2 linked regions of the Xenopus tropicalis genome follow. The protein of the gene in region 1 binds, or shares a complex with, the protein of each later gene. Links are inferred from orthologs where the notes say so. Each region holds a gene or a part of one and is shown on either strand. Other genes may lie near its edges.

Region 1 (3,819 bases):
GAGAAGCGCAGTATAGCACTTGCACCCCTGCCATGTGCCAGTAGTTCAAACTGCCCTGCCTTATCTGAAAGGCTCACTAAAATAAAAGCTTATGGTAAACATGGCATTTTCATAATTTTAATGCCTCCTTAACTCACTGTTAAATCAGCCACAGCCTTTCCAAGCAATGGTGCAGTAAGGATAATAACACACACTGCATTACTCCATGGGGCACAGCTTTGTGTTTCTGTACTGAAATCCTGCCCTCAGTGCTTTTTTTACATGAGTGTAGAAAATGTCATGTTTGCCATTATCCTTACTGCATTCAGTGAGAGAGATAAGAAGGATTATCTAAGGTGTAGTAGCCAATGAATGATATTATTATAAGACCCCAATGTGACAGAAATGTTCACTATTGTGTGTTATTAACATTTATGAAAAATTAAATGTTAAGTGGAATTGTAATAAAAGGGGGTCTTGTGCGATGACTTTTCCTTTAAACTCCAACCTTCTCTCACATATTATTTCTACTTGTGCTACTAAAGGAAAAAGCATTTACAGTTTCCTATGCAGAGTGTTACCTAAACTGTGTCCATTCTTGGTATAGAAGCAGGTGTTGTCAATCAGGTTGACACAACAGCCGATGACATCCCCAGTTGTGAACGTTGGCCCATATGGCTGTCCAGTGCCAGAGGAACAGAACGAATGCCCATCATCACCGTGGTAACCATAGGAATGCTTGTCCCAACCTTAGGGCGCATAAGATAGATATGAAATCAGTGTAAGACAACACTGTAAGAACATCAATAAAATACATGAATCTTAGTAAAAAAAATTTGCAGTAAGTAAAACATTCACAGTCAGATTTAAGGACATGTTCCTCCTTGGTTAATCCTTGCTAGTGTATCTTGCGTGTGTCTCTTGCTCTACAAGGGTCACTTAAGTCAGACAGAATTACTTGTTAAACAAATTCAGCAAGAATGACCCCTGCATGACCAGTACCTAAGTGGTAAAGAGTGGATGCTTAATCATGCAGAGTAGTACTGAAAGCTGCTTACACAGGAATCCTAAACTGCTGTGCAGCATCAATTTCTGTGAAAGTCTTAACATTTTACCATCTTTTGATTTCATTTTGCAAACTTCCCAGCCATAAATACCCATTTTGTAAGTGAGATTCATTTCTTCTTCACATGCTTTAATCTCATGCAGAAAAAAAGTATTAAATATACAATACTGTATATAGAATGGCTATTGATGATTGATAAAACACTGTGCGTTAATGGGGTCTTGTTTTGTTTTGGTTTTTTTTGCATAATGAATGATTATTCTCAGCAACTTTCCAATATACTTTAGTTAATGATTTTCAATGTAAGTCAGTCAGGAGTCTGTTTTCTTTAAAGTCTTTTAAAGAATATAAACAGTGAGAACTGGTAGTGCTTTTTAACAGCAATTGCATCTACACATATATATAAAACCAATGAACATTTGTAATGAACGTATAATAGAAAGTTGCTTTGAGTTACATATTCTTTTGCTGTGCAAAAGTAAGATATAATTTACCTAATATCACCTAGCATGCAATGTGGGGTCCACAGGGCTAAACCACCCCAATCAGAGTCATTTGCCTGACTTTCCAGCACCAGCTTGGGAATGTTCCAAAAACTACATGTAAATGACAATTAAAGCATAGTATCTAACAAGTTTTTGTAATAAATAAAGCATGGATAGGACTCTTCCCTCCTCACCAGGGACACAACATAGAGAGTGAACAAGTGTTCCCTTCTAATGTGGTTCAAGGAGGTCTTGCTCAAATTGTCTGTCCAATGCTGTGCATAATACTCTAAAGTTATCTGTATGACATGGCAGACATGGAGTGCATCCCGTCCATATCACTGACAGGAGCCGATATCCAGGGGAAAGCTATTAGGAAGTCAAACGAAAGGAGAGAAGCAATGTAAGAACAACATTAAAATCCAAAGCAGGCATGGAAAGCACTTCTCAAGGTGGCATCTGTAGGAGTCAGCACCTGCATAGTCAGATAACCTTAGGGAACTGCTAACCTAAAAGTCTGTTATTAGCAGTCGAAAACTGCTTATATAGGTATGGTACAGGTATGCTTGGGATCTAGGGTCTTCCGGATAAGGGATCTTTCCCTAATTTGAATCCCCATACCTTAAGTCTACCAAAAAATAATTTAAACATTAGGTAAACCGAACAGGATTGTTTTGCCTCCAATAAGGATTCATTATATATATTTATATGTATTAAAGGCACTGTTTAATTATTACAGAGAAAAGGGAAATTATTTTTAAAATACTTTAATTATTTTATTAAAATGGACTCTATGAAAGATGACTTTCCCGAAATTTGGAGCTTTCTGCATAATGGGTTTCCAGATAATGGATCCCATACCTGTATATTGTTAATCATTGAAAATAAAAGAATAAACTGCAAATGTGCTCAAAAGAGCAAATTTATATTGTTTGATCAGGTCCTTTTTAATATATACCTACTAAATATGATTAATATGAAGTTCATTCTTCTCCAGCACTTGGCTAATATATATGTATGGCATACACACTAAAACTAGTGCTTTTAGACCACAAGTACCGACACAGACAATAAATGACAATAAGAATAAGAAACAAGCATCAAGAAAAATTAGTAACCAGCCCTACAGCTTGCAATAATTATATAATAATTCCTGTAAAAATAAATATATAGGATAATAACCAATTACAAATGGTCTTAACTTTTAGTATGATATCGACATTGGTATTTTAAGACAATCTGCATTTGGTTTTCATTTTTTATTTTTTTTTGGTTATTTGAAGAGACTGAAATATGAATAGGATACGGCATGAGTAAAAAGACAAGAAATAAAACGTCACAATAATAATAAAAATCATATCCCCACAGAGCAAACATTTTCTGACTGCCAGTGCCAATGACACCCATTTAAAACTGGAAAGATGTAGAAGAGGAAGGCAGATAATTTAAGAATTAAATAAAAAATAAAGACCAATTGCAAAGTTGCTAGGAATAGCTAACTTAAACTAAACCACCCCTTTCAAATACAACTGTCTGCATGATACTAAAGATGAATTCTAAGTAGAAATGCTCCTTTTAAGTGACTCGGACACCTGCATCTATGTAACATTTGTGAATTAAAGGAACAGTAACACTAAAAAAGGAAAGAGCTTTAAAGTAATAAAAATATAATGCACTGTTGCCCTGCACTGGTAAAACTGGTGTGTTTGCTACAGTAACACTACTATAATTTATATAATAAGCTGCTGTGTAGCCACGGGGGCAGCCATTCAAGCTGGAATAAAGGAGAAAAGGCACAGGTTACATAGCAGATAACAGATAAGTTATGTAGAATACAATAGTGTTTTATCTGTTATTTGCTATGTGCCTGTGCCTTTTCTCCTTTGAATGGCTGCCTCCATGGCTACATAGCAGCTTATTTCTATAAATTATAGTAGACTTTCAGTAAACACACAACTTTTACCAGTGCAGGGCAGCAGCACATTATATTTTAGTTACTTTTATACACTTTCATTTTTTGGTGTTACTGTTCCTTTAAACTGCCTAGGTGTTATAGAAACCATTTCCATGGTAACTGCTCCTAAGGGCTAATGAGGCAAATAAAGAGACAGAGCAAAGTAGTTGGTTGGATCCTAGGCAGAGCCTTCTACTCTTATGGACCTGCCTAATGATTGACAAACTACCCTTCCAGTAAGAATTCTTATATGACAGTTGCACCCTGTCAAGAATACTTAGCAGCAGTCCTCTCCCAGGACAAACAGTGCCTACTGGGCTTCCGCCAACAAAACA
Region 2 (4,344 bases), on another chromosome or scaffold:
ACGGAGGGGGCAGTAACACGGAGGGGGCAGTAACACGGAGGGGGCAGTAACACGGAGGGGGCAGTAACACGGAGGGGGCAGTAACACGGAGGGGGCAGTAACACGGAGGGGGCAGTAACACGGAGGGGGCAGTAACACGGAGGGGGCAGTAAGAGAGAAGGCACAAAAGTCCAGCATAAGTGGGGGCTCTGGAGAAGGACATTTGGAAGGAGCTACACTGAATTGGGGGAATAGGTAACATTAGAGCTAAAGGAATGGTATAGACTGGAGAGGTGGAATTTAAAAAAATGGGGGGGGGGGGATTATTGTTAGCTTTAAAAATGCCCCCTTTCTTCAGCAGGATTTCTACCCCCCACCAAGACACTTTCCCATTCAATCAGTTCTCATCCTTGTGTCGCCATGTGTCTGATGGGCCCCCATAATGCCATGCCCTAATGGTCTCTGCCAAAAGCTCAGTAGGAGGCAGGCAGCCAATCACAGCTCTCCGTTTATACTAGATCTGCTACTGTTCCCTGTAGGGCTGGAAGTGGAACCCATGGGCGGGACTAGTAGGGTTTAAATGAGCAGAAAATGGAATATTTAGGGGTATATTTATCATGCTGTGTAAAAAGTGGAGTGAAACATTACCAGTGATGTTGCCCTGGGGAACCAATCAGCAATTACATTTCAACAGTTAGAAAACCAAAGCATCTGATTGGCTGCTATAAACAACATCACCGGTGATGTTTTACTCCACTTTTTACACAGCATGATATATATATATCCCTTAATGACATATTGCTTTTATATTTACAGGAGTATAATGCACTGGCAAATCCCCTTTTCTCCCTTTCCACTCCCTGGTGCCACTTACCGGTAGCAGCGGCTGCATAGAGACGCGTCTGAGCGCAAAGTGCCGCCGGGAATACACGCAGCCTCCGGGCAGTGATCGCTAGCAGACTGGGCAGCATGGTATAGTAAGGGAGGGGTCAGTGGTTCTGCTCAGGACTCTCTCCCATCAGCACCTGCCGAGGGGCAAAGGATTATCAGTAGATATTTATTAGCGACCACCCCTCTGCCGCTGTGAAATGGTCTCTCCCCAAGGCTTCCCACAAGGCTCAGCGCTCATTACACCCAGAGAGAACACGCTGCCAGTCCCAGCCCCTATGTACAGAAAGCCTGCTCACCCGGGCGCAGCCATCTTGGTGACCCTGACTTGTTCTTTGTCGTCACGTCCGGCAAGCAGCCAATCCGAGCCCTTCTTGGTCTCCATTGGTCAGTTTTAGCTAGACTACATTTCCCGGCGGCGCCGAGTCACCGCTTTAGCCAATTGGGGGCGGTGCTGCGCGGTGGGCGGCCTTTCGTTCAGCCAATCGGACTGCGCGGTGCTGGAGAGGCCCAGGTGCTCGGGCCGGGAGTGGAGAAGTGGCCGAGCCCTAGTGTGGAGCCGCCTCAGCGGGAGAGGGGCTCGGCCCTGGATATGCCGGTCCGTACCGAGGCCAACAGCGCGGCCTCCGGATACTCCTCTCTTATTCCTCCTCCTCCCATCAACACCCAGCAGCCCGGCGTGGCCACCACCCTCCTCTACAGCGGCTCCAAGTTCCGGGGCCACCAGAAGAGCAAAGGCAACTCGTACGATGTGGAAGTTGTGCTTCAGGTGAGGCCCGGCGGGGCCGACTGCAGCCTGGCTAGTGTGTGTGTGTGTGTGTGTGTGTGTGTGTGGGCACAGGGGGGGGATGTGCGGCAGGGAATCCTGGGTAGAGGGGCTGGGGGGGGGGGGGGGTTGTTTAACAAGAGGTTTATTGGGGGAGAGCAGGTGAAGGGGCAAGAGAGGAGCAGGGATAGGGTAGAATGATGGGAATAGAGGGGCAATGGGAGTGGGGTAGGAAGGGTTATGGGAGGGACCCCTAGCCAGGGAAGGGTGGCCGGAGCAGGACATGTAGGCACTGGGGCCCTGGCTTGGGAGGTAGGGGGGTGAGTTATGGCAGGGAGGGAGGGAGGGGGTAGGAGAGTCATAGGGTTCTGCTGTGAATCATGTTGGGACTGAGAGCAGAGAAGCCAGGGCTGCTGGGTAAGTGAGCGCCAACAATAGTCTCCCCCTTGTACAGTGAGCGCCAACAATAGTCTCCCCCTTGTACAGTGAGCGCCAACAATAGTCTCCCCCTTGTACAGTGAGCGCCAACAATAGTCTCCCCCTTGTACAGTGAGCGCCAACAATAGTCTCCCCCTTGTACAGTGAGCGCCAACAATAGTCTCCCCCTTGTACAGTGAGCGCCAACAATAGTCTCCCCCTTGTACAGTGAGCGCCAACAATAGTCTCCCCCTTGTACAGTGAGCGCCAACAATAGTCTCCCCCTTGTACAGTGAGCGCCAGCAATAGTCTCCCCCTTGTACAGTGAGCGCCAGTAATAGTCTCCCCCTTGTACAGTGAGCACAACAATAGTCTCCCCCTTGTACAGTGAGCGCCAACAATAGTCTCCCCCTTGTACAGTGAGCGCCAACAATAGTCTCCCCCTTGTACAGTGAGCGCCAGCAATAGTCTCCCCCTTGTACAGTGAGCGCCAGCAATAGTCTCCCCCTTGTACAGTGAGCGCCAACAATAGTCTCCCCCTTGTACAGTGAGCGCCAACAATAGTCTCCCCCTTGTACAGTGAGCACAATGGTGGAACCCTAACTGGAAAGGAATAGGGAGAGTATGGCAGAGTAGGTGGGGGAAGGAGAGTCATGGGAACCTGCCATGAAGGTATTACTTGGGGGGACAGGAGAGTAGTAGCACCCTTGTGGGTTACAGTAACAGGGGAGAGTATAGAGAGGGCAAGGAATCTCTTCTCTACATTTCCTGTGGAGGTAGATATGGGAGCCGCAGTTCTAGAGAGCGTGTGATTGGTGGATGGAGTTGGTTTGGGGGGGGGAAATGCTTCAGTAAATTTTACACTAAAGCTCGGTGTGAGAGAGTATTATATCTGCCTGCTGGTACAGAGTATTATATCTGCCTGCTGGTACAGAGTATTATATCTGCCTGCTGGTACAGAGTATTATATCTGCCTGCTGGTACAGAGTATTATATCTGCCTGCTGGTACAGAGTATTATATCTGCCTGCTGGTACTGAGTATTATATCTGCCTGCTGGTACTGAGTATTATATGTGCCTGCTGGTACTGAGTATTATATGTGCCTGCTGGTACTGAGTATTATATGTGCCTGCTGGTACTGAGTATTATATGTGCCTGCTGGTACAGAGTATTATATCTGCCTGCTGGTACTGAGTATTATATCTGCCTGCTGGTACTGAGTATTATATGTGCCTGCTGGTACTGAGTATTATATGTGCCTGCTGGTACAGAATGGTGGCATAGCCTGGGCACAGCCGCTACTCCTATACACTGCAGCCCACACAGGTTCCTGCACTCCCTGCTGCAAGTGAAGTTAGTGAGCGGGGAAGAGTCATGTGACATTTCTCTGGTCGGTTCTGAGCACAGAGACATCCCCAGAACTTTCCTCTGCCGGCTGCAGCCAGTGGGAAGAACAGAATGGGGCACTGTGTCATATTCATTATAACACAGTGTTAAAACTGCTAATATCTCGAAAACTAAATGTCTATAAGCTTTTATTTTCGACGGGTACAACTTACAGCCCTTACAACTCCCCCCCCCCCCCCCCCCCTCAGCTTAGGTTGTCCACTGTCATATGGCATATTCTCTGCTTTAATTCATTGCCTCCTATTAATCTAAGTGTTTGGCCCTTACTCAGAGTCGGGCACGGGGCCCCTTTCCTAGCGGCGCTCACCTCTGATTTGGCTATGGAAGTAGCCGGCCATAAATAGGCATATATAGTGTGAGCGGCACCCTGGGAGAGCTCCCTACTCCCTCCTGGATCGCTGCCCTCGGCCCAGCAAAAGAATTAAACAAGGAGGGATTTGCATCCACGCAGGGCATAATCGGGGAGAGAATACGGGTGCCAGGGGGGGGATTGTGCCGGGCTGGTACCACCTTTATCTGTCTCTCTCTTGCCCTTATTTGTGTCGCCGAGCCCTAACAGTCTGCCAGTGCTGTGACCTAACGTGACCTAATGTGCCGGCGCTCCTGCCTCTGCCCACGGGCAGCCTTTGCTTTCAGCTGAGCCAGGGTTTCTATTGCTCTCTCCCTGCACAGAGAATGGGCTCGGGCGGCTCAGCTGCACTCTGGGCTCCCTCCGGGCTCCCAGGGGCTACATACACCATTAATCTCACTGTTACTGAGGCTGCACGGTGCAAGTGTCCCCCACCTGCACACACATTGGCTGGAAATGGCCATGTGATTTACACACTGCATTTGTATATAAATATTGTCTCTCCCACAAGAAGTCATAAGGACCCCTGTGTCATAC

What was found.
Region 2: the proteins of ranbp9 (region 1) and gid4 are in contact, whole or in part, in a cryo-EM structure (PDB 7NSC), measured with the Homo sapiens proteins. The link is inferred for Xenopus tropicalis from reciprocal best matches to the Homo sapiens genes RANBP9 and GID4. Residues at the interface, in NP_005484.2 of Homo sapiens: Ser223, Lys224, Gly225, Arg226, Asp227, Gly228, Tyr229, Met230, Gly256, Asp257, Thr274, Phe275, Thr276, Thr277; in NP_076957.3 of Homo sapiens: Leu187, Arg189, Asp194, Glu195, Asn216, Asp218.

What each region holds. Positions count from the first base shown.
Region 1 is NC_030682.2:91,825,660-91,829,478, forward strand, and holds part of ranbp9 (ran-binding protein 9), read right to left. Parts: intron 729-3,819; coding exon 561-728; intron 1-560. UniProt on the Homo sapiens protein: May act as scaffolding protein, and as adapter protein to couple membrane receptors to intracellular signaling pathways. Acts as a mediator of cell spreading and actin cytoskeleton rearrangement.
Region 2 is NC_030685.2:15,291,352-15,295,695, reverse strand, and holds the start of gid4 (glucose-induced degradation protein 4 homolog), read left to right. Parts: upstream 1-1,298; 5' UTR 1,299-1,459; coding exon 1,460-1,636; intron 1,637-4,344. Other genes in the region: atpaf2 (ATP synthase mitochondrial F1 complex assembly factor 2 precursor), read right to left, coding at 854-950.